7 linked regions of the Cricetulus griseus genome follow. The protein of the gene in region 3 interacts with the protein of the main gene of each other region in a pairwise test. Links are inferred from orthologs where the notes say so. Each region holds a gene or a part of one and is shown on either strand. Other genes may lie near its edges.

The links.
Region 1: the proteins of Tle5 (region 3) and protein LDOC1-like interact in binary tests that used the Homo sapiens proteins (3 or more experiments, as listed by UniProt). The two-hybrid records come from large-scale screens. The link is inferred for Cricetulus griseus from reciprocal best matches to the Homo sapiens genes TLE5 and LDOC1.
Region 2: the proteins of Tle5 (region 3) and Trim26 interact in binary tests that used the Homo sapiens proteins (3 or more experiments, as listed by UniProt). The two-hybrid records come from large-scale screens. The link is inferred for Cricetulus griseus from reciprocal best matches to the Homo sapiens genes TLE5 and TRIM26.
Region 4: the proteins of Tle5 (region 3) and Trim41 interact in binary tests that used the Homo sapiens proteins (3 or more experiments, as listed by UniProt). The two-hybrid records come from large-scale screens. The link is inferred for Cricetulus griseus from reciprocal best matches to the Homo sapiens genes TLE5 and TRIM41.
Region 5: the proteins of Tle5 (region 3) and Sdcbp interact in binary tests that used the Homo sapiens proteins (3 or more experiments, as listed by UniProt). The two-hybrid records come from large-scale screens. The link is inferred for Cricetulus griseus from reciprocal best matches to the Homo sapiens genes TLE5 and SDCBP.
Region 6: the proteins of Tle5 (region 3) and Zgpat interact in binary tests that used the Homo sapiens proteins (3 or more experiments, as listed by UniProt). The two-hybrid records come from large-scale screens. The link is inferred for Cricetulus griseus from reciprocal best matches to the Homo sapiens genes TLE5 and ZGPAT.
Region 7: the proteins of Tle5 (region 3) and Nudt22 interact in binary tests that used the Homo sapiens proteins (3 or more experiments, as listed by UniProt). The two-hybrid records come from large-scale screens. The link is inferred for Cricetulus griseus from reciprocal best matches to the Homo sapiens genes TLE5 and NUDT22.

The regions. Positions count from the first base shown.
Region 1 is NC_048604.1:11,336,581-11,338,924, reverse strand, and holds protein LDOC1-like, read left to right. Parts: upstream 1-1,391; coding exon 1,392-1,844; downstream 1,845-2,344. UniProt on the Homo sapiens protein: May have an important role in the development and/or progression of some cancers.
Region 2 is NW_023276806.1:228,893,226-228,895,890, forward strand, and holds part of Trim26 (tripartite motif-containing protein 26), read right to left. Parts: intron 1,105-2,665; coding exon 1,082-1,104; intron 691-1,081; coding exon 575-690; intron 356-574; coding exon 323-355; intron 1-322.
Region 3 is NC_048598.1:102,308,517-102,312,634, reverse strand, and holds the start of Tle5 (TLE family member 5), read right to left. Parts: upstream 2,801-4,118; 5' UTR 2,624-2,800; coding exon 2,597-2,623; intron 1,146-2,596; coding exon 1,048-1,145; intron 1-1,047. UniProt on the Homo sapiens protein: Transcriptional corepressor. Acts as a dominant repressor towards other family members. Inhibits NF-kappa-B-regulated gene expression. May be required for the initiation and maintenance of the differentiated state.
Region 4 is NC_048600.1:63,472,683-63,476,634, forward strand, and holds the start of Trim41 (E3 ubiquitin-protein ligase TRIM41), read right to left. Parts: upstream 2,801-3,952; 5' UTR 2,492-2,800; coding exon 1,685-2,491; intron 1-1,684.
Region 5 is NC_048595.1:154,149,917-154,153,416, forward strand, and holds part of Sdcbp (syntenin-1), read right to left. Parts: intron 2,378-3,500; 5' UTR 2,363-2,377; coding exon 2,312-2,362; intron 453-2,311; coding exon 374-452; intron 1-373. UniProt on the Homo sapiens protein: Multifunctional adapter protein involved in diverse array of functions including trafficking of transmembrane proteins, neuro and immunomodulation, exosome biogenesis, and tumorigenesis.
Region 6 is NC_048599.1:540,403-544,354, reverse strand, and holds the start of Zgpat (zinc finger CCCH-type with G patch domain-containing protein), read left to right. Parts: upstream 1-1,152; 5' UTR 1,153-1,428; coding exon 1,429-2,009; intron 2,010-3,952. Other genes in the region: Arfrp1 (ADP-ribosylation factor-related protein 1), read right to left, coding at 7-94, 383-475. UniProt on the Homo sapiens protein: Transcription repressor that specifically binds the 5'-GGAG[GA]A[GA]A-3' consensus sequence. Represses transcription by recruiting the chromatin multiprotein complex NuRD to target promoters.
Region 7 is NC_048596.1:52,458,918-52,463,205, reverse strand, and holds the start of Nudt22 (uridine diphosphate glucose pyrophosphatase NUDT22), read right to left. Parts: upstream 2,801-4,288; 5' UTR 2,711-2,800; intron 2,444-2,710; 5' UTR 2,427-2,443; coding exon 1,950-2,426; intron 1,516-1,949; coding exon 1,417-1,515; intron 498-1,416; coding exon 400-497; intron 273-399; coding exon 179-272; intron 1-178. Other genes in the region: Trpt1 (tRNA 2'-phosphotransferase 1), read left to right, coding at 3,119-3,223, 3,412-3,493. UniProt on the Homo sapiens protein: Hydrolyzes UDP-glucose to glucose 1-phosphate and UMP and UDP-galactose to galactose 1-phosphate and UMP. Preferred substrate is UDP-glucose.

The sequences.
Region 1 (2,344 bases), on a different chromosome or scaffold from region 3:
TGAAGTAAGGGTTGGAGCTGTACATGCCGACAGACAATTCACATATAGATGAGACAGTTTGGGAAGCCCTTTCTCAAAGTAGTATAAAATGAGGTAGGCAAGTAAAGGGGGAAAGATAGCTAGAAGGGACAAAGGCTCTGAGATTAGGCGAGATCTGCTTGATGTGTGCAGGAATTAGCAGGCGAGGCAGAGATTAGGACAACAGGAGGTCATGTAAAAAGGGCATGCAGAAGGAGGTCCTTGTATGTTACGACCAAGGGTTTGCTTTTTATTCAGAGCAGCAGAGAGGGAAAAACTGCTGGAGAACGTCGAAATGGGGAGTGAAAGGCTCTAACTCACATTCTAAAAGTGTTCTGAGGCTATTCTAGAGAATATGCAGAAAAGGGGAAGAATGACAGCTAAGGGATTAGATGTAGCAGACCAGACCGTGAAAGAAGGCTGGGATCGAGGTAGCAGAGATGCCCGGAAGTGACTGAATGTGGAGATGTATTTTAAAAAGCAGACCCAATAGCTATCAGCTCAAGGATCCTGGACCAAACTTAGTTATCGACAACTAATGACGTTTAAAATAGGCAGACAAAGTTATTTTACAGAGCTCATCACAGTTTATAACTTAGGAACAAAGGCACTGATAACAGGAATATGGAAAGAATCAAAGATAGAATGTTGGCAAATGGATACTCTGTGCAGATTTGGAGATCTTTTGGTGAAATTGTCTCAACTGAAGAGAAGCCCCTGTTGACAATTACTTATGTATTTAATGAAAGCACCCCTTGCAAGTCTTGAAGTCTCTAAACTCAAATGATCTCCCGCAGTATGACCCTCAGTGTCAGTGTTATTTCTCTGGGTGAAATTTAAACAAGCAAGGAAATGTGTTAAGAAAGCATTACTCTAAAAAAATGTTGATGGCTGCAGGCCCACCGAGGAACACTGTATTGGATGAACAGGTCGGCTGCAGAGAAGTTTAAGCTGAAGCAGGCCAGCCCTGAGTGCTGAGCTTCTATGCTCGCACAGCCCTCCACTGTGGCAGGCTTGGCTCCCCCAGCGTTTCTTCATCAGGCTGGGGGAATTGACAGAGGCCCGGGGCGATGCTCCCTTGGTCACGCCTTCCTCCTCCTGGGCCACGTCCACTCGGTCCGTCAGTCCCACCCTGGCCACACCCCCACGCCACCAGCACTCCCCTCCGCCACGCCTTTCTCACCGCAGTGCGCTGGCGCATTGGCTGCCAGAGTGACCTTGTGGGTGGAGCTTCCGCCACCAGCTAGACCCCCTCTGCGCAGTGCCCAGGGTCAGCACTCCTCTGAGGACACGCACTTCCTCTACGGCCTCCTTGAGCAGCTCCGCGGAGCCGATCCGAGCCCGAGAGCCCGAGACCTGCCAAGCGAGTCACCATGGTGGACGAGCTGGTGTTGCTTCTGCACGCGCTGCTGGTGCGACACCGCGACCTGTGCATCGAGAACAACCGGCTCATGAAACAGCTGCGGCTGCTGGTGTGTGAGCGGGCCATTCTGCTGCGCCAGGTACGTCCGCCCAGCTGTCCGGTGCCCTTCCCCTCACCGTTTAATGGCGAGAACGCCCGGCTCCCCGAGTTTATTGTGCAGACGATGTCCTACATGCTTGTGAATGAGGACCGCTTCTGCAACGACGCCATGAAAGTGGCATTCCTGATCAGCCTCCTCTCCGGGAAAGCCGAGGATTGGGTGGTGCCGTACATCCAGACAGATAGCGCCATTCTCTGTGATTATCGCGCGTTTGTTGAAGAGATGAAGCAGTGTTTTGGCTGGTATGACGACGAAGATGATGATGATGATGATGACGACGACTGTGAAGCGGTTGATTGCTAGGCCCCGAGCCCCCTTAGGCCTACATGAGGAGGACCCTGCACGCTGCGTCCTCCCTACCCCCACCGCTACTCCTGCTGCCTCCGTGCCCCCCTTTGCATTGCCATTCTCTTCCCTGCCAATCACTTCGCTCCTTCATCCCTTTTAGTGCTTGTCTTTGTGCCAATTACCTGCTACGAGTGCTTGAGTTGGGCCTGGGCCTGGCTCTGAGGTTCACAGTGTTCAATTTTAACCAATCCGGGCACCTTTCTAATCTGAACTGTGTTTTGAGCTCCAGCCATTGTCCAGGCCTGTGTTAGAACTCGTCAGACCACCTGCATTCCTGCCGCTGGCTTCTGATGGATCGCCATCTACATCTGCCAGAAGTGGATGCCTGTCACCTCACCCCCCCCCACCACCACCCCCCACTGCATCTCATCTGCAGCCATCCACTTTTCAAGATATGGACCAGGAAGAAGATGATGGAGTTGGCTACATCTATTCAGACTCTCATTTGGACAGTT
Region 2 (2,665 bases), on a different chromosome or scaffold from region 3:
CCAGTCTCCACGTGCCAGTGCTGCCTCACTGCACACTCCAAGAGTGCTATTTATGTCACAGTCTCTGTGAACTGTGTCCCCTGGAGGCACTCGGCGCACACAGCACAGGTCTGGGCAGGATGATCTCTGGCCTTGGGCTAGCACTGCTGTTTGCTCTCAGAGGACCACGTGGTGAGGTAGATGAGAAAGACTAGAAGTGTGACCTGTGACCTCCAAGGGTCATCAGCACTGCAGATTACCCAGCGGTTAAAAACGTAAGGGTTGGGCCATCTTTGGGCAATACCAGTGAGGATTCCACAGGGACAGTGCTATGTTTACTCACCTGTCTTATACTCCAGGTCTCTCAGGAGCTTGCCTAAGGATTAAAAAAAAAGATAGAAATGAGCTTCAGACGAGCAAACTCATGAACTCATTTCGGACTTGGTTATCAATTATGGGACAGGGCTTCACTGGAGATCCCAAGGAAGAAAGATGCAGGAACTAGAGCTCCTTGGAAGGGTAAGATGGGAGAATATGGAAGTGAGAAGCCAGGAGACCCTCAAGTATGGCCCAGCCTGGTGTCCCCAGTGCTTACCCTGGAACTGCCTCAGGCCCCGTTGCAGAGAGAGAAGTTTATCTGAGAATTCTCCTGCCTTTCTTTTAACCATGTGAGGGATGGCTTTCCCAATCCAAAACTTCTTCCGGGGGTACCTGAAAATGTGACGGACACAAGAACCTGTTGTTTGGCTCTTCCTGCTTTTCTGCCCGTGTTTGTGACAATCATAAAGTGAGCAGGAAAGGTTTGATTATCCCTAATCAAGAGACAGAAAAACTAACCAAGGACATAAGACTGCCAGCAGATCCCACAAGTGAGAACTGTCTACCAGTCCAGGCTTTGACTCTCCCATTGTGCCTCAGATGAAGACAGTGAACCCAGCTGGACTTCAGAGATCACACTGGGAGAGAAGAGCCTCTAACCCTCAAAGACAGCTTTCATGAAACAAGGGCTGCCTTGCCTTTGGCATCCTATCACTCCCCATTATTCACATGGACCATGGTCATAGAAGCAGGGAGAGTAACCATAAGCAAATGAAATTCCTACCTGTTGGCAAAGTCCTTGGTGTCCTGCAAAGGAAGGGAACACAAGCACCAAGGTGAATTAAGTAAAACTACATCTATAAGTCAACACCGTAACAGGCAGGCACATAACAGCAACCCCCCCCCTCCACACACACACACACACACACACACACACACACACACTCACACACACAAACACACACACACACACACACACACACACACACACACACACATACACACACACGATCTCCTTCCCTAGGGAACTGACAGTCTAGTAGGGCTAGAAATCAATAGGCTGGAGAGTTGGCTCAGTGGTTAAGAGCACTGGCTGCTCTTTCAGAGGATCCAGGTTTGATTCCTTGCACTCACATGGCAGCTCACTACCATCTATAACTCCAGTTCCAGGGAACCCAATGCCTTCTTCTGGCTTCCACAGGCACCAAGCATACAAGTGGTGTACAGATACACATTCACGTAAAAACACCCATACATGTAAAAATAAATGAACAAACATATTATAAAGGCAGAAAAAACTAGAGGTGGCAAGTGACCTGGCCTCTCCAAGGAGACACTTAAGCTAAGGGTTGAAGAATGATAAAGTACTAACTGGGTGTAGACTGATAAGAAATGGGAAAGGGCTTAGAGAGGAGGCAGGGCCAGATCACACCAGGCAGGAAGGGGTGATGATGGTGAATTTTATTCTACGCACAGTGGGATAAAAGGCAACTATCCCCTGGCACCCATTTCCCCCCTCCCCACTTTTAAGCATTTATGTGTATGCGTGTGATGAGTGTGTGCTATACCACAATGTATGTGAAGGTCAAAGGACAACTTGTGGCAGTTTGTGCTCAACTTGTGGGTTGAACTCAGGTGAACAGGCCTGGTAGCAGGTGCCTTTACCTGCTAAGCCATGTTACCTGCCTTTCCCCTCCTTTATAATACTAAACTCCATAAATTCTGGTCTGACATGTGACCAGTCAAGAAACTACATTTCCCACATCCCCCTATAATCAAGTCTATTCACGTGACTAAGTTCCAATGGGATGGGGGGGAGATCAAGATTCTCATTCTTGTTCTTTAAAAAATAAAATTGCTTTCTAGCTCCTCTCTTCTCATTGGCTGAATTTTGAACACAGTGATGAATCCAACTCAAATTGCATGGCTGAGAACAGTATCCCCAAGAAATAAGCCAGCTCTTGGATGACTGCATGGACATCTCTAGACCCCCACCTCTCAACTGCTGCAATGACGTAAGGGAACTTGTGCTCCACATGAGCTATTGAGCAGCAACTAGCAGAAACCCTAGGTAACTGGACACTTGGCTGATCCTTGGCAAATGGTGGCAGGAGGCAATGGGCAGCGGAGGGTACCCTGGCGGCTGTTACGGAACAGGGAGTTGGAGATGGCAACAGGGGGCACAAGAGAGAAGCTGAGCATCCCATGACTGCTTTAGAGCAACTCAAGGTCACTATGGATAGGCACCTTGTGCAGGAGGAAGACGGCGGTGCTGTCTGCGTGAGGGAAACGTGTGGAAGGACAGAGAAGGCGGGAAAATCTCATGAGATGATGCTTTGGTAAAGCTTGAAGCCTCCACAGTTCTCTG
Region 3 (4,118 bases):
GGAACTCAGGCCCGGGCTCAGAGAAGGCATCCCTGAGGAGGGCGGGGCCACGGACCCGAGTGGGAGACCATGGGGGGGGGCACACCTGTGCCCTCTCTAAAATGACAAATGCTGGGGCTGTGGCCTGGTAGGTAGCTTCCACTGACCTAGCACATGAAGCTCCACTGGGCCCCTTCTTGACTGTCATCTACTGTTAGCAGCTCAAGGTCATCCTTGGCTACAAAGGGAGCTGGAGGAAGCCTGGACTACATGAGACCCTGTCTCAAAATAAATACCAAAAAGTAAAAATAATAAATTAAAAAAAAATCACAAACCCAAGATTTCCTTTTTCTTGGAGAACTCTGAGTATCTTTCAAAGACTATTACTATTATTACTATTTGTTTTCTGAGACATAGGTTTGCTCTGTACCTCAGGCTAGCCCAAAACGCCTCCATCCTCCTCCTGTGTGTCTGAGAACTGAGTGTTGGGCCGCACCCCCATGCTCACTCACTGTTGGGAGTACAGGGTCAAATGGGGACCCCAGGCCACGCTTTCCCCAGTCCCCTACTTCAGGCTGCTTCTGTGCTGTGCAGCCCTCGGAAATGGCTGAGCTCTCTGGGCTTCAGAGTGATTAGTTTCACACATGAGAAACAGGAAAACAGTTTGTGGGAGCCCGTCAGTTGGATGGTCTGTGGGACACCAGCAAGCTCCCCCACTCCATAAGTGGACAGAAAGAGAAGGAGGGGCTGTGTGGACCTTGGCTGATTAATAACCCTCTCTGGACACCCACTGCAGCCTGTGTTAAAATGAGAGCATCACGCTCTCTGGGGACCCGGCTTCTGAAGCAACACACACTGTGTGCCTCGGTTTCCCCCTCCACACTACGGGGCTGCTGGTTTGGTTTTGGACTCAGGGTGGTATGTATCCCAGGCTGGCCTCTAACTTGCTAAGTAGTTGAAGATGACCTTGAACTGCTGACCCTCAAGCCTCCACCCCCTCCCAGCCTTTCTCCAGACCACAGATAACCCCTACATTCTGGGGGTGCGGCCTTCCTGGCGCGGGCTCACCTGTGGTACTGGGCTTGCAGCAGCTGGAATTCATCTTTGATCCGGTCGCAGGAGTCGGAGGTGGTGAACTTGAGCTGCTGGGGGAGGTGGGAGGAGCCCTGCGGGTGCGGGTGAGGGTGCGGGAGGGTGAGGGCCTGCTTGCCCGCCCACGCCCTACTTCCTGGCTGAGCTCTGCAGGCCCCAGCAGCACTCTCCTAGGAAGCCTGCAGGGGGCTGGGAGGCCCCCAGGCAAGGAGGCGCTTTTACCGTTGGTCATTTTGGGGGGCAGGCACCCCATCCTCCAGCGGCCTCTGAGGGGTCCCCGGGAAGCCCCTCTACGTCAAACAGGACACAGGCCTGCCTTCAAAGCCAGCTTGGAAGATGCACCTAGCTACCACCCCACACTTCCTGGGCGTACCCCCATCACACCTGTTTCCTCAGGGGACTCCCCCCAAAGCTGCCCAGCCCCAGGGGTGCCTCGCGGGGTTCCCCCCAGCCCCAGTGAAAGCCATGGGAGGAAGACAGGCCTGGGGTCAGGGAGGCAGATGGTAAATGTTAGGGTGCAGGGGCGGGCCGAGAGGTGTCCCTGGGGGTGAGGGGATGCACAGGGCTGGCATCTGAGGACACTGGGCCAGGAGTTGGGGTGTAAGGTTTTCGGATCTGGGGAGCACAGTTAGAGTCTGGGGTCAAGGCTGGGAGCAGGGTGGGGGCTGCCGGGCCACCGGGAGCTGGGGTGGGAGGGATGTGCGGGGGGTCGGCGCCTGGAGCTGGGGGAGGGCGGGCGTGGGGGGTCCTCGGGCTCCGGACAGGGGCAGAGGCACAGTGGGCGTTATAAAGGCGCAGGGTCCCCCACACTGCGGTACTGAGGGTGCAGGATGGGGGCTGGGAGGTGGCAGGCCTCTGGGGTGCGAGGCCTGCAGCTGCAGGACACAGGGCCGGGCTGGGGGGTGGCGCTGGGCCCGGATGGTGACGCCAGGCCCGAAAGGGCTCGGGGGAGAGGCAGTGGGTACGGAGCCTATATTCTGGGGTGCGGGGCAGCCGACTTGGGGGCAGGGATGGAAGTGCAGGGCCTTGGACTTGGGGGCAGGCTGGTCTGGGGCCATTAGCGAGCTGGTGCGGAGGGGTGCGGGAGCGCAGAGGTGGCGGTGCAAGGTCTCAGGCTGGAGGACACGTGCGGCCTGGGCTTGGGGTGCTGCAGCCCTGGGCCTGAGCCCCAGGGCTGGGAGACAGGCCGGATGCGGCTGGAGTGGGGTGCGGGGCCCCGGGCTGAGAGACAGGCTGGTCCGGAGTCGGGATGGGCAGGCAGCACGGGGTGGGCTCGAGGCCGGGATCAAAGTTCAGGGGTCCGGGCTGAAGGATGCAGTGCTGGGCCGGTGGGGTGCGCACGGCCTGGGTGGTTGGGTGCAAAGACCCCGGGGACAGCGCCGGTGGGAGCCCCTGGGGCAGGCCCTGGGCGGGGAGACAGGCGGGATCCGAGCTCCGGGGGTTCAGTGAGCAGAGCTGGGGATGTAGGGCGAGCACCGGGGGTGCAGGGCGAGCTCCGGGGTGCAGAGCGCGGGGTCCCCCTTACCGAGTGCCGGCTTTGCGGAAACATCATGTCAGTCGCGGGGGGCGCGGGCTGCGCCCCGGCTCGGGCGGCTCGGGGGGCGCCGGGCGGCCGCGCTTTGTCCCCGATCGGCAGCTCCGGGGCCCCGCGTCCCGCCTCCTGCGCCGCCCGCCGCCCGCCCGCGCCGCCCGCGCTATTGTGTAATGGCGACGCGGTGCCGCCCGGGCTCCCGCTCCACCTGCCGCGCCCGGCACTGCGCAGGCCGGACGCCCCACCCGTGACCTTGGCCCCGCGCGCCCCGCCCCCGCCGCGGCCCCGAGCCCTGGCCCGAAGCCTGCCTCGATCCCCCACTCCACTCTCAGGCCCCAGACCCACAGTCTGAGTGCCCAGACCCCAAGGTGCATTTATGAATCGCCTACGGTGTGCCTCGCCCTCTCTGGAGTGGGGAGGGGAGGCTTGGCACGGCTGGGGGCACGGTGATACCCGTCCCACGGAGGTAGGAAGGGGCCAGGCCTGTCACCACTGACTGAAGTGTACAGGCTGGAGGACCAAGAGTTCCAGGCCAATCTGCGCTACAAAACACCCAATCTCAAAACAGCAACAGAAAGTAAAAGACTTGAGTGATGGTGCAAGGCTTTAATCCCAGTGCAAGGTAGGTTGAGACAGGTGGAAGCCAGCCTGATCTACACAGTGAGTTCCCATACAGCCTGGGCTACATGAGCCTCCGTCTCAAAAATAACAAAAGTTAGAGACCTACTGGAAACAGAGGTGGTGCACACCTTTTAATTCCAGCGCTCCGGAGGCCCAGAGGCAGGCAGATCTCTCTGAGTTTGAGGCTAGCCTGGCCAGGATTGCATGAGCCCTTTCTCAAGAATAATTAAAATAAAAACATAAATATATAAAAGGAAAATAGTTCCCGGGGCTAATTAGTGCCCAACATTTCAGAGCAAGCTGAAGCAGAGGGATTCCTACAATTTCTGGCCAGCCTGAGCTGTATGGCAATTGTCTGTCCCATACTTGAGACAGACCCTGACAAAAGTCGACTGTTATGCACAGGTGACCCACAAAGATCAGAGAGCAGAGGTGCCGGGGCGTTGATGGCACACGCCTTTAATTCCAGCACTCGGGAGGCAGAGGCAGGCAGATCTCTGTGAGTTCGAGGCCAGCCTGCACCCCAGAGCGAGTGCCAGGATAGGCTGCAAAGCTACACAGAGAAACCCTGTCTCGGAAAACCGAGAGAGAGAGAGAGAGAGAGAGAGAGAGAGAGAGAGAGAGAGAGAGAGAGCAGAAACAATAGGCCCAATAGGCCTGGTCCACTAGGATGCCCAGCCCCAGTGAGGAGCTAAGGGGGGGGGGTATGCAGTTGAGGGGAAGAGGGAGCATGGAGACTCTCTGGCCCATAGGACAAGGACAAAGCCCCTGGGACAGAACTCACACACTGGACCCCAGGAGGCAAGGCCGCTGCTCATGGCAGGGCTTCTGGTAACAGTCCCACTGGTGAGTTTGACACTATCTTATTTAATGAAAATAGGGTCACATGTAACCC
Region 4 (3,952 bases), on a different chromosome or scaffold from region 3:
TCCAGGATATCCAGGTCTATTACACAGAGAAACCCTGTCCAGGAAAAAACAAACAAACAAACAAACAAACAAGAAACAAAAAGGGTTTCTTGCCCTCAGGTCTCATGTATCTTGAGCTAGCCTCTATCTTGCTACATCAAGGATGACCTTGAACTGTTCTTCCTGCCTCTATTTCCCCAAGTGTTGGGATAAAAAGCTTGCACTATCATGCCCATTTTAGGATGACTATTCTATAGATACTCTAATTCAGAACTTCTGCAGTAAGGCCCACTGTACTTTTGACATCTCCTCAAATAACTGACAATCAGCTGTGAAGCCTTAGACTCTAAAGTTGAGGAGGTGATGATCACCTAAATGAAGTTACTGACTGAATTAGGAGGAGGCATAGAAACATTAGTCACAAACAAAGCTCTGGGCAGCCATACAGAGGAGGCTACCCTCTCCTCCTGATTCTATGGCTTCAAATCTGAAGATAGTTCTATCTGTGCTGGCTGCTTCACAGACACATGTCCTTTACATATGTCCAAAGAATTAGAGAAATAAAGAACAAGCCAGTTAACCAAACAAGAATTAGATTCCTAGAACAGTCACATCAGAAAAGTCAAACTAGGCCAGGCGTTGGTGGCGGATGCCTTTAATCCCAGCACTTGGGAAGCAGAGGCAGAGGCAGGCAGATCTCTGTGAGTTCAAGGCCAGCCTGGTCTACTGAGTGAGTTCCAGGAGAGGCTCCAAAGCTACACAGAGAAACCCTGTCTCGAGAAAAAAAAAAAAAAAAAAGTCAAACTAAAATATCCAAGTAGTGTTACCTAGGAGCCCCAAGAGGAAGATGTTCATATCCAAGTCTATCACTTATTAAAGCTGTATATACATAAACATCCATGTTCAGAATTTAACCCTGTTTCCCAATCAATAAAATGAGAATGGCAAACATCAAACTCACATGGTGACTTTGAATTATGAATGATAATCCACAAAAAGTGACCTGCACAGTACTGACTATATGTGAAGTGCCCTATAAATATTAACTCCTGTAATAATTAAAGTTCAAAGTGAAGCCGGGTAGGCACACCTTTAATCCCAGCACTCCAGAGGCACAGGCAGGCAGATTCCTGTGAGTTCAAGGCCAGCCTGGTCTACTACTGAGTGAGTGCCAGGATAGGCTCCAAAGCTACACAGAGAAATCCTGTCTCAAAAAAATAACAAAAACAAAAAAAAAGTTTAAAGACACAAGATTTTTACCCTAAAACCCTCCTTTCTGGTTAATACATGAGACTGGGTGCTGAGCCAACCAGCAAATCTGTATCATAGGATGGGTGTGGAACCCGTTAGGAAACAAGTGCAGAGTATTTGGGTCTGACACTAGTTATTTCTATGCTCCTGTTTCAGACTCCCTTGTTCTTTTTGGTCCCATTTCTTTCCATCTGGAAGTGACTCTGTCATGGATAAGACTTAAGATCCATCCAGAAGGATGAATGCACTCTCTGTCACTTGCACTCCTATCCTTAAGCCACAGAGGAAGTCTCAGGATCCTTGTAATTTATCGACCTTGGAAGTCAGTGCTTGGACAGGGAGAATCATTTCTGCAGGACATGAGGTCCTGTAAGAGAACCCACATTCCCTTTGCCCGATGTCCTCTATTTCCTCCCTACCCTTACTAAACTCTTGCCTTGCTTAGTTCACTCACCTTGTACTCCTGCACCACCTCTTCCAATGGCACCACACTATGCTGTTTGTGGCTCCTGGATTCTCGGCACACCACACAGATGGCTTCTTCATCCACCTCACAGAACAATTTCAGGGCTTCTTGGTGTCTCGGACAGATGCCTTGTTCATTCACACGACTCCCTCGACCAGGGGTTGGATGCATCTGACGAATCACCTGGACCATGTTGGCCAACTGCAGGTTGGGGCGGAAGCTCCGCCGAGGAAAACTTTTTCGGCACTGGGGACAAGTGAAGCACCTCCGAGGGGCTGGAGGTGGCGGCAGTTGGGTGATCGGATCTAGCTCCTCTTCCTCATCTTCCTCCAGCACTTCCTCCTCCTCGTCCTCATCTTCCCCCCTCAGGTCCTCCACATCTCCCAAGTAATAGTCCAGATCTTCCTCCTCCTCCTCTTCCTCCCACACATAGTCCATGTTGTCCCAGTTGGACCCGCCTATACCACTACTCCAGAACACACCCTCCTCTTCCTCCTCGGCCTCCTCCTCCATGTCACCCTCATAATCTTCATCCCGCATGGGGGTGTCCCAACCCCCGCCTGCTCCGACAGCCTCCACTTCTTCCTCCTCTCCGACCTCCTCCTCCTCCTCCCGATCCAACTCATCCCTGTCCTCCTCATCCTCCCCGCCCCACAACTGGGTTACACACACTCGGCAGAAGTTGTGCCCGCAGCCGATGGACACGGGGTCCGTGAAGTAATCGAGGCAGATGGCGCACACCGCCTCCTCCTGAAGGGTCTGCACAGGGTTGGGTGTCATGGCAACGGCAGCCATCTTAGTGTCCAGTCAGCCAGTGTAGAAGTGTGGTGGGGGCCGAGGGGGGGCGGGGGGGTCTTCCTTCTCAGAAGCCCAGGAGACCCGTCCCCACCCCAAGCCCTGCTTCCCCACACCTTGCCTGCGGCGAGGCCGGAGGAATGTCCTCCCGACCAGCCCACCGCTGCACACACAGTCCCCTACCCCTAGACGACAATCGCGTCTCAGAGAGGGGAGGGGACTGAGGTGAGCACCACCGACAAGTATCTCAGGTGGACCTGAGTGCAAATCTGCCCCAACGCTCCCCCGGCCTCCTCATAAACCCCCGCCCCTCCTCACTTCCTGGCCCCGCCCCCCAGCTTCCGGCCTCCCTCCCGACGCTTCCGGCGTCTCCACACGACCTAAACTCACGAGTTCCCTCCGAGGTTGTGCTACGCCCCCCTTCTCCCACGCCCCGCCCCGGACTCCAGGGCAACCGGAAACGAGGAGGAGACGCTCTAGCGGACACGCGGGAACAGGGCGGGAGGGCTAGGACGGCGGAGGTCCGCATCTCTGTGATGACTGGCGGCGGGGAACGCGTACAAAGCGGAAGAAGCCCCCATGCCCCGCCAGCGGGGACAGATGGCGGAGGGCAGCGAGGACGTGGAGCAGCACCCTGCTCTCCGTGCTACAACCGCAGCGGCCTAGCGCCATCCTACCGACCAGGCACGGACGCCTGCAGAAGGCACTCCCAATAGCAGTGCCGGAAGCTGAGGGGCGGGCCCGCTCAGCGTCCTCAAACACTTCCGGCCCCTGTAGCCCTAGAACTTGCTGGAGACTCGATAGATCCCTGCAAGTGGGGGTCGTGGGCGGAGTCTGACGAGATAGCTGGGACTGGAGTTCGGGAGGCGCCACCCTCTGCGGGGCATTCCCACGCCCGTTTCAGCAGCTGCAATCTTGCGGGCACTCCTGTATGCCTCCCACACTTGGGAGGGAGAGGCAGGAGGACCGCGGCAAGTTACAGCCTTGTCTAATCTGGGCTACAAAGTCAGACCCTGTCCCAGGAAGTAACCACCAACCAACCAGAGCAAGCAAACAAACAAACAAACAAAAAAACACTGTCATCTGGCCACTGGCCTATCATTTATTATTAATAGCTACATTCACATTAAATGGAACACTGTCCAGATATGTGAACAAGAGTCTTCCCGGATGTGTTATGCTTAAAAAGCGCAGATTGCTGGACACTCTGGAGTATACAAGGTTAAGTGTATTTGGTGCTTTGTATGGCTGTGACTACTCCTTTAAAGTAGACCATAGGTCGTCGCCTCGGGGTTTTGTGAGGATGTCACGTAAAGCGATCAGAGGGTTTCCTAGCACCTGGTCCGACTGCTCAGGGTTAGCTAGCTACTCTACCATATCCGCGTCTGTGGAGGAAGACAGAATTTCTCTAGGAAAGATGACCGGGTAGGAAAGACGCTTTTCCTAACATGTAGTTCTTTT
Region 5 (3,500 bases), on a different chromosome or scaffold from region 3:
AAGGGAGCTTCTGAACTCCCCACAAAGGTGTAATGAGGCAGCTCAGAATGCCTGCAGGCAGCTACATCTTATCAGGAAAGCTGAAGCTCCATGCAACAGTGCTTCCCCTTTAATGACCAGGCCATGTTAAGGACTATGGCTCAAACTAAAATACAATTGCATTATGTCCTAAAACATACCTTCATACTCAGAGAGCACTCTCTTGATTAAATACAGGTTAGTTCTATAGTAAACCATTTTTCCTTACTGCTACTGGATTGTTAATCACAAATTCATATAACGTCAAAATCCTAGGTTCTGAACTTCAGAGGGAGAAAAAAAGGCTTTGTATATATTTCTTTCCAAAGAAAATGAGCCCAAAGTATGAACCTACTTCCATCTGTAGGGTAAGCACCAGAAACATCCACCAAAACTGCCTGGGTGGCAGGGCCAGAAGAAAAGGCAGTCTGAGCCTAGAAAAGAAAATATTTACATATACTTAAATGATTTACAAGTTAAATCTAGATAGAATTTCCCAAAAGAAATGAACAATTGAAGCTTTACTCAAAGTTTCATTTTAAATACTTCAGCAACCATTTATTTTCCAAAGGAAATCTATAAATAAAAAAAAATGTATCTTTTTTATAGTCAGTGCTTCACAGTATTCTGCAAATAAATCCACTGTATGTGCTTTCTCTATTGGTATTTGAGATGAAGCCTGATGTAGCCCAGGCTAGCATCAAACTCCCCATTTAGCTGAGTACTGCATTACCATCAACTCCTGATCCTCCTGCCTCCTCCACCTCTGAAGTGCTAGGTTTACAGGCATGTGCTACTATGCTCATTTATTTCATGCTGGGGTTGGACTGAATACCGGCCTTCACGCATAACAGACAGGCCCAGGCTATAAAGAGCTCGGAATTGAAAATGGTTCTAGGAGTATGTGGCACTGAAAGCCACGGCTTAACGGCTATTGCAAAATAATTTACGGAATATGAACTGCCAGTTCACTGCTGTGGTGCAAAGGGCCAGAAGACAAGAAGGAATGTAACATTCCTCTGTAACTTCTTGCCAGGGCATCTCAAGCAGTCACCCACCCTAGATAATGAAGCACAACAACTAGCCCAAAAGGCTGGACTAAGAGTGTTTTGAAATCTAACCAGAACAGAAGAGCCATACCCCACCTCTGCCCAGCCCTGTTCCATCTGCCAGTAGCTAGCTCTCTGCCCTGAACACTGAAGGTCCTTGAAAGGAATCCACTTCTCTTAAAGGGGCCAGCTGACGTAAACTGAAGGCCAGGAAAACATCTGTCAAAATCAACTGCCTTCTGTATTTCCACAGTGAAAACCCTCTACTAAAAGCCAACTGTGGTTAACTTAAGTTCAATTCCATACTCAGCTACTAAAGAATAACATGGACAAAGATCATTTTTTGCAATCTGTATGTTAATCCTTAATGTACTAATGTAATATTGATTGATTTTAGGCCAAGTATTTCAGATAAAAGCTTTATGAAAAGAGAGCATGTTCAGATGAACTTTGTGAAAATTACCACAGGAGGGGCAAAACTTAACACCACAGAAAAGGCAGACATTTAAAAATGACTAACCATGCCCCTCATAGCTTAGAAGCATCCCTCCTTGGCAGCTCACTGCACACTTCAGATGCTAAAAGCTACATGTAATATCCTTCCTAGACTGAGGCTGGAAAAAAACTGTCCTTGGAGCAATTTCCCCACCTAGTGCCACTGCATCAGTCCCTGGGACACCTGAGCTACTATTACTACCTGGTTCACTCTCCTTTCACCCCAGAATGGTATCAAGAAAAATGTACCAACTTTACACAAAACTATGACTATCTAAAGACTTACATGCATATTATATACTCCAACTTTTATGAGTTATATGCAATTTAGACTGTACTAAGAAAATGAAACATTCTGAAGACTGTAGAAATACTTAAAAGAAATACTATCTGGCTGGAGAGTGGTTCAGGGGTTAAGCTGTAGAAAGTATAGTGTTCGTAAAGCAGACCCAAGTTCAGTTCCCAGCACTGGAGCCTATGGAACCTGGCTGTTCACAACCATCTGTAACTCCAGCTCCAGAGAGACCTCTTCTGGTCTCACAGGAGTCTACACGCATGTGTCCATGGCATACACATGCATGCATGGGCTAACAAATATACAGAGAGAAAAAAGAATTTCTAGTCTTCTTGAGAAAGTTTAGTCTACAACAGACTTAGACATAGCAATACACCAACAAATGCATGCTTCCCATTTCATTTCACTAGTGAACATGTTATGAAATAATTCTTAAAATTAAAAGCAAACGTACCTGAATTACTTTGTCTACCTTCAAATCTTCAAGAGATGGATAAAGAGACATTTTTGCAGGTTTTTTCTAAAAGAAGAAAAAAAGTTTTTAATGTCATAGAAATATACACAGTATGTACGGCCAGCAATATGCACATAAACATGGACAGTGCTGTTTAATACAATAAACATGTAAGTTCAAAAGCCATAACAACAGGACTGGTTAAGGCATATCATAGTTGTTAACATTTAATAGTTGTTACCAAACTCCATCTCTGTTCCCATAGCTACCAAACTACATTCATCGTGGATTTTAAACCTTAACAAGAAAGGCTGCCTTAACTTCACAAGTTGTGAATATCAAAGACAAGAGGCATATGACTTTTGCTTAGCTGACACAGTGCCCCTCAGCAAAGCCAGGGTCAGGAAACGGGCCTTTCACAAGATCTATTACCTTCTAACAACTAGAGCCAAGAGCAAACAGTATGCAGTATCAGCATGTATGACAGCACTGGGAGAATACACATACGTACAAGGAAAAACTAACATATGCCATCTGTTTATTTTTTAGCAATGGTTTTATCTTGAGGAAACAGCTCTAAGAAGGAAATTATTACCTTTCATTTTAATATTTCTACGCTGTAACATTTTTTAAGCTACCATAAATAGCTTTTTTGCAACAATTTAAAATTCTCTGTAATATTGCAGACACACATTTTACATTTTGTTTAGACATTCTGAGATAAATACCCAAGACTTCCCACTTAGCCAAATAAAACAGAATGTATCCTAATTGTTAAAAGGTTTTGGCAAATTACTGAGCCAGCCCATCAACCTCCTACTTCCAAATCTATTCCTTATTTCCTGCTCTCCAAAAACAGAGCTGAAGCTCTTAGAAGACAGGATGCTGCTGCGTGTTCAGCAAGGGCAATCAGGGGCACAAAGAGCATCTCAGCCACGCTGGGCCACCATCCTCTCCAACCAGATCCCCACAGGACATGCTTCTCTAGCAGCTTAGCCCAGCTACGCTGAGCAAAAAAGCAACACAGAAAGCCATCAGGCTGGAGCAGGTAGCCCAGACCTTTTCATATGGCTTTGCAACAAATTCTAAATGTGACATGCTATAGTAAACACTACTGGAAGTGCTAAGGAGCACCTCACAAGGTATTGAGAACTATTGGAAGGCAGTTTGTTTCAGTGGTGCACTCTCT
Region 6 (3,952 bases), on a different chromosome or scaffold from region 3:
CCTTACTGTTTAGGCCCACGGTAGTGGTGATTTTGGATAGACTCATCCCTTTGTAGTTCTTGTTAAACCGTGTTTTTGATTGTTCCAAGAAGGTCTGAGGAAAGAAAGAAAGGTGGTTAGGTAGTGGCAGCTAAAGCAGTTTCCTGGTGTCTTTTCTAAATATCCCTCCACATCCATATGCTTTGGGCAAATTCAGGCTTTCACACCCACATGGTTTGGGCAACTTCAGGCCTTCACACCCATACACACATGCACACGAACCTCTGCCTGTTGAATGCTCTTCGGGAGGCTGGTGGCAACTAACCTGTAGTCTTGGGTAGGGATTAGATTTGCAAAGAACATAAGGCAGGGAAAGGGAATTGGTGAGAGAACAGGCACCTACTGTCTTCCCGGCATTGTCCAGGCCTAGGATCAGGATGCAGTATTCATCCTTCTGGAACATGTACTTGTACAGCCCCGAAAGCAGCGTGTACATCCTGCCCTGGCACCCTGAGAAATGTCAAGGTGTGTACCAGGGCTATCGGCCTCCTGTCCGCTTCATCAGTGGTCCGTCGGTCCTGCTAGTTTTCAAATGTGGAGCCTCGTGGCTCGCGACTCCTTGCCCCCCTCTCCCCAGCCCCCGATTCCGGACCCTGCCTCCACCACCGACCACCCGCTAAACCTGGGCCACTACTCCCACTGCGGGTCATCTTTGTGAATACACCATCAGTCCTGAAAAACCCATGGCGGCCTACCCTGCTCCGCCCTCCTAAGGCTTCTTTTCCGGACCCTCAACTCAGCACTGGGAACTTCGACTGTCGTAGCTACCAGAGAGTCAGCTTCTGAGTGGGCCGCCTTTGGATCCCCCCCCGCTGCCGGGCCCACGGAGCCAAAGAACCAGCTGCCGAAGCCGCTTCCCTGCCCCCTACCCCAGGATTCTGGAACCCCGGCCCCTCAGTCCGGCGGAGACCCACCTGCACCTGCTCAGATCTCGGAGCCGCAGACGCCGTCGTCGCGTCGCAAACCCCACCGACCTCGCGTTGACCCCGCGCGGTGCCTGTCGGGACACCGACCGGCCGACTGAGTACGAGAGGGCGGAGCCGCATCCCGACGGCCCCCGCGCGCCCCATCCCGGAGGCTCCCGAACGCGGGCACTTCCGGCAGCATCAGCTCTCGGGCGGAAGTGCCCGCGGCGGGCGGAAGGCTAGCGCGAGGGCTCTGCTGGCGAGGCCGGAAGCCCTTGTAGGCTGCGAGCACCGGCGGGAGGCGGGGCTGCGGACCGCAGAGGACGCGGTGGGATACTTTGCGGTTCCCTTGGCAGCGCCGAGGTCCTCCTCAGCCTCTCCAGCGGCCGGGGAGGGGGCGGCGTTGTCCTGAGCTCTGCCGACTGCTCTTCCCTCAGGTCTCGTCTGCTTTAGCGGTTCCGAAACTAGCCTGCGCGGTGTAGCGATGGACGAGGACAACCTGGAGACGGCCCTGCAGACCTACCGGGCCCAGCTCGGGCAGGTAGAGCTGGCTCTTGGTGCTGGCCTGGACGCTTCCGAGCTTGCGGACCTGCGCCAGCTGCAGGGCGATCTGAAGGAACTGATAGAGCTCACCGAGGCCAGCCTGTTGTCGGTCAGGAAGAGCAAGCTGCTGGCTACAGTGGACCTGGAGCACCAGGCAGAGGAGGACGCTGAGTACTTGGCTTTCCAGAAGGCTGTGGCGGAGGAAGGGGAGGCACCCGTCGCCCCCGTGGATGACTCGGAGACTGTCCCTGGGAGCGTGGTGCGGCCTGGACCCACCTCCCCTGCACAGGAGGAAGACGAGGAGGATCCAGATCAGGAGGAGCTGAGCGGTGCTAAAGTGAATGCCCCTTACCACAGCGCTTGGGGCACGCTAGAGTATCACAACGCAATGGTTGTGGGCACTGAAGAGGCAGAGGATGGTTCGGCATGCGTTCGCGTACTCTACCTGTACCCTACCCACAAGTCCCTGAAGCCCTGCCCGTTCTTCCTGGAGGGAAAATGCCGCTTCAAGGAGAACTGCAGGTAAAGCCCTCTGCTACTAGCAATAAGGGTCACTCGAGCAGGACCACTGCTGTGGCCTGCCGCCTTCACAACTTGTTCTCCACCCCGCAGAATTGATAAAAGAGAAGGGGGAGCTTCAGGTGGCTGACAGGCTTTAACAGGAACATTCCCTGTTAAGTAAACACATAAGTAAACACATTATATTCATTCTCTCTCTCTCTCTCTCTCTCTCTCTCTCTCTCTCTCTCTCTCTCTCTCTCTCTCTCTCTCTCTCCACCTCCCACCCTCCCTCCCTCTTTTTTTGGATACAGAGTTTCACTGTGTAGCCCTGTCTGTCCTGGAGCTCGCTCTGTAGATCAGTCTGGCCTTGAACTCAGAGATCTACCTGCTCTGCCTCCCAGGTGCTTGGGACTAAAGGCGTGTGTCACCACTTCTAGCTAAGATTTATTTTTGTGTGTATTTGTGTGGGTATGTGAACATGAGTACAGGTGCCAGAAGGTGTTGCATGTTCTACAGCTGGAGTTCCAGGTGCTTATGAGCCACCCAACATAGATCCTGGAAAACAAACTCAGGTCCTCTGCAAGAGCAGTATGCTCTCAACCACCAAGCCATTTCTCTAGCTCTATATACTTACTTTTCTTTTTAATTGTGTGTATGTGTGTGTGTTTGTGAATACATGTGTACTTGAGTACAGGTGCATGAGGAGGCTAAAAGAAGGTGTTGGATCTCCTGAAGCAGGAGCTTCAGGACTACTGGTAGTGAACTACTTGGGTCTTCCTCAAAAACATTACACATACTCTTAACCACTGAGCCATCTCTCCAACCTCCAGAGACCACCTATATTCCTTGGTTTGTGGTTCTCTTACATCACTTTAAGCTCTTACTTCCATGGTTACATCTGTACTCTGCACATTTTATTTCTTTACTTTTTCTTTAACATGGGATCTCATGTAGCTTTAAGCTGGCCTTGAAATCCATATATAGCCAAGGATGACTTTAAATTCTTCATCTTTCTGCTTCTACCTCCCTAGGGCCAGGATTACAAGCATGTGCTACCTAGCTTGGCTCTGCACATCTTTTTTAGATCCTAGTAGACTTGACATGTTCCTTGCTCACTCTCTTTCCTTCTCATGCCTATAGGTGCATAAATGATCAGTGTGCTCAGTGGGTTTTCTCCAAGAATACACATGTTGCTATAACCAGTGGCTGCTTTATCTGCCATAGTCTTTTTGTGGGAAGCCCTGTGATGAGAGATTTAATACCTCTAAGTACTTTCTCTGACTGACATATGCTCACTTCTCTGTGCACGAACCTATGGGTAGGCCCTGAACTCATCCCATTTTATATAATTTTTGTTTTATTTTATTTTGTATGTATATATGCATGTGCCATGGTGCTCATGTGTAGGTCAAAAGACAGCTTTTGAGTGTAGGCTCCTTCAACCATGTGGGCCCTGGGGATTGAATTCAGGTCATCAAGCTTGGCAGAAGGTACCTTTACTTGTCAAACCATTTGTCAGTCCCCACCCCACTTTATAGATGGAGAGACAGACACCAAAGCACTAAGTGATCGGTACAATGTTGCTGGCCGTGAGACCACTTCATCACAAGGAGCTGCTTGTGGTATCAATTTTAGGGCAGAACTAAAAGACAATAAAACATCTAACACCATCTTTACAACCATCCAGGATGAATGAGTTGTTTTCTTGAATTTGCTTTAGATTTTTTTTGTTTTGTTTTGTTTTGTTTTTGTTTTTCGAGACAGGGTTTCTCTATGTAGCTTTGGAGCCTATCCTGGCACTTGCTCTAGAGACCAGGCTGACCTCGAGCTCACAGAGATCCACCTGCCTCTGCCTCCTGAGTGCTGGGATTAAAGGCGTGCACCACCAATGCCCAGCTTGCTTTAGATTCTTAAAAATAAATTTAACTAACTCCACCTGCATTACCATAACTTTGGTGTATGTC
Region 7 (4,288 bases), on a different chromosome or scaffold from region 3:
TTCTGCCTATAGTTACTGAATCTCAGTACTCCTGTCTATCCCCGTTCATGGGCTTTCCCCTTAGGTAGGACCCAAGCTTTGTGCCTCTGGAAACTCTAGGAGACCCGGGAGTTCTCTGCCTCACCCAAGTATTCTTTCCCCCCAATACCAGACCACCGTGAAGGCCTCAACTCCACACCTGTGTCTCCACAAAGATGATTCCTGTAGACTCGTGGGCCTCAGGTCCCCCACTCATGTAATAACTCCTAACCTCCTCTGAAGTTAGGCTGCACCTAGACAAAAACATGAGGGTGGCTTGGTGTCCAGACTTTATGGGAACCCCACAGAACTCGAGTCGCCTCACACCCACTCCTTCCCCACCCACCTCACCCAGGATCCTGCACCCCAGAGCCCACTCACTGGACATGGAACTCTGCACTGGCTCTGCCCGCGCTGGTCTCATTGCAAGCGATGCCCAATAACAGTGGCTGGCTCAAGGTATGCGGTGGCACGTTCACCTGTGGCAGGGAGTCCCACCTGTCAGGCTGACAGCTCAATGGCCTGGGTTTTTTGTTTGTTAGTTTGGTGTTTTTGTATGTTTATTTTTGTTAAGGCAGAACCTCAAGTAGCCCAGGCTGGCCTTAAACTCACTATTTAGCAAAGATGACCCAGAATTTCTGGTCCTGCCTTCATCTCCTGAGTGCTGGAATTACAGGTATGCATCACTGTACCTGGTTTACACAGTACTGAAGATAAAACCCCAGGCTTTGTACATTGTTAGGCCAGTGTTTCTCAACCTGTGGGTCGCAACCCCTCAGGAGGTCAAATGACCCTTTTACAGAGGTCACCTAAGACCATTGGAAAACATATTTACATTATGCTTCACAGCAGTAGCAAAATTACAGTTATGAAGTAGCAACGAAAATAAATTTATGGTTGGAGGTCACTACACCATGAGGAATTACATTAAGGGTTGCAGCAATAGGAAGGATGAGAACCACTGTGCTAGGCAAACAATCTTAAGAGCAAAACTGAGCTATATCCCCAATCCTCAATGGCTGTGACACTTGGCATTTTTGTTTTGCTAGCCAAATGCCCCATTACACAAAATACAGGCTCTGAGTGTGTTAATTTTCAGATGAAAAATGGAACAAATTGTCCAGGGAAACCATTTTACCCAAGCGAAGTAACCAAGACTCTCACTATTTTTTCAGCAAATATGGGAACAGACTAGACTAGACATTTTTCATTATTTGCACTGTAGTAAAGAAGAATCTGAGGGCTAAGGAATCATGGCCTCAGTGTTAATGCTATGCTCCTTCAATGGCAGCGAGGCTCATGCAGACCCTCACTCTGGCCCAGGACTGTGGATTTCTAGCAAATCCTACCCCCTCATTCATGCCTATCATGTGTCTGGGAGTGTCATGTGTCACTCACCTCATCACAGATCTCCTGTAGGACACTGGAGAAGAGTTCACGTACCACCAGTTCCCCAGGGAGGTCCTTGTGCTGGGGGATGCCACCAGAGCACAGGGCCTGTGAAAAATTTAGGCTCAGCCTTCATCTATTCCAGTTCCCATTCTGCTTTTCCTCTTGTTGGCTATGGGGGCCTAGGGCAGATTCAGTGTGGGAGTCTTGGCAATTCCCTAACCCAGGTCCTCCTATTCCAACTAGGAAGGTGAGAAAAGATATCTCCCCTTCAGCCTCCTCCCATGCTCCCTAGCTTTCATAGGTGTGTTTCAGCTTAGAACTATAACTTGATCTCCCAAATGGCAGTGAGCACCTTGTCTCCTCCCAATATTGGTGAGAGTCATGGGAGGTGCTCAGCTGGGTGGGCAGCCCTCTAGCAGGGCATGCAGCACGGGAGGCTACTGGCTGAGAAACACCAGGCCACTTTTCCCTTTAAGATAAAATAAAACCAGAACTAGGAGCTTGAATTTTGTGCCTTTGTACCCAGCCAGTCATTTTACCTGAGGTTCAGGGTGCCCTCCAGGCACGTCTACCATCCCAGGCGCCTCAGCCACCTGCTGAGAGCGGCGCAGGAAGACAAGGAAGTCATCAGCTGTGACCAATATGGCACCCACCCCCAGTGGATCTGCCAGATAGGCTTGCTTTTCACCCCAATCTGTAGCTCCCTGCTGTCGCAGCCAGGAGGCTGAGCTGGACCAGTTTGTGCCCAGGAAGTCCCGGTAGGAAGTTAGTCCCAGGTTCAGGAGCAGCTGTGGCTGAGGTGAGCTGGATGCCAGTATGGCCGAGTGAAGGCGGAACTTAGGGGCATCAAAGATCCAGGGTTGGGTCTGTAGCCTTGTCTCCCAGATGGCAGTAATGGTCTTGTCTCCTCCAGGCAGTGGGCGACGATCATGAGCTGGGCTCAGCTCTACTGCTACCTGCTCCTGGGACAGTCCCCCAGGAGGACACAACAGCAGGAGGGACACCTCAGGGTCCATGGTTTGACAAGGAAATTCTGGGGAGAAGACACATATGGCCATCCTGTCACTCGAGACAATGAGCTGGCCCTCTTTTCCACAGAACTCCTGAAAGTGAGCCCACCCTTCTGCAGATCCCTGACTACTTATTGCTTGGGCAAGAGTATCAACCCAGCAAGAATCCTGAGCCCAGCAAGCACCTGGAACTCCTGCTGCCCCAGATCCCTAAAACCTTTGGGCATCCCTACCACCCAGCAGCAGTAGACGCTCCAATGTTCATGGCCCCCAAACCCAGATGTACTTACCTCCAACCCGGACGGACGCTCTGGAAGCTGGCTCTTGGAATTCACCGGCGGCTTGGCCCCCAAGCTCCACCTCTTTCCTCTCAAGCGGAAGTGCCTGCCCCTTTCCTTCGCGGCTTCCCATTGGCCAGTCTGTGTCCAGGCCTGCGACTTGACCCTCCTTGAGCGCTTCTGATCCGCATCGGCCTGGCTCACCTTGGCGTCTAGTCTCCAGCCCGGAGACCTAGGCAGCGGCAAATCCGCGATCCGATTCCAGAGAGCGGAGTCTGATCCAGATCCCTCGGGTCTCGTGGCTGCCAGTGTGACCCTGGCAAGTCTCGCCAGCTGGGCCTCAACTTCCATTGTGTGGACCAGAGGGTTCCAGGGTGGGATGAGCGGTGTGATTCACCCATCCCGAGCCTTTGTGACTTTATGGGCAGAGTGGCCACACGTTCCTGCTCCCTACAGGTCTTGGCCATGAACGCCCCTGGAGGAAGGAGGCAGGAAGGTAGAAGGGCCCATAGACCCCGGGAACAGGTGTGCACCTTTCCACCCTCACCCCCGGCAGTGGCTGGACAGGGGAGGAGACCCTCTGAGCCTCAGCTTCTTGGTGGGAAGACTGGAGAACCAATGGTCCCAGAGGCCACTGGAGCTGTTCTGGTCTACCTTTGCAGTAGGACATTCAGGGCTCAGGGCTAGCTACCAAAACCCAATGACTCTTTCAGGACCGAGATGTGCAGCTGTCTAAGGCTCTGTCCTATGCCCTACGCCACGGAGCCTTGAAGTTGGGACTTCCCATGCGAGCTGGTAAGTGAGCATGGTGGAATCTGGGAGAAGTATGAGCCCAGACTGGAACCCTGTCTCCTCAACTTTTAACCCTGCCCAGGAGGAACACAGAATAGGCACACTCTCCAAATGTACAGAAAAAGAAAGCCCAGAACCCATCTCATGATAAACACTTCCCAAGGATGGAAGGGGTTGCATTCTGAGGCAAGTGATGTTTATTGGATGGCCATTCTGGGCCAAGTACTTAGTACATGCTGTTACTCTCCCTGAAGCAGATATGCTATTTGTTTTTAGTTTTTTGTTTGTTTGTTTTTATTGTATGAGTGTTTTGCCTGCATGCATGTATGTCTGCACTACGTGCATACCTGGTGCTTGTGGAGGCAGAAGAGGGCACTGGACCCCTGGAACTGGAGTTCAGATGGTTGGGAGCTGCCATGTGAGCTCTGGGAGTCAGACCCCACGTCCTTTGGAAGATTGGCCAGTGCGCTTAATTGATGTACCATTTCTAAAGCCCTTTTGTTTTCATTTTGAGATAAGGTGTCATTAACTTAGGCTAGCCTCAAAATACCTTGAACTCTTGATTCTTCTGCCTCTACCACCCAATTGCTGGGCGTATAGGCATGTACCAATATGGCCACTATAAAGCTGGTCACCTTCCCAGGTAAGTTAAGAAAAATAAGGCTTGGGATGGAAGTGTATCTCCTTAGCAGAGGTCTTGCCTAGCAGGTGCAAGGCTCTGTGTTCCACCCCAGTATAGAAAAAACAAAAAAATGAAGCCCCCAAAGGAAAGCCTTCCTGAAGGTCACACAAAGGAAC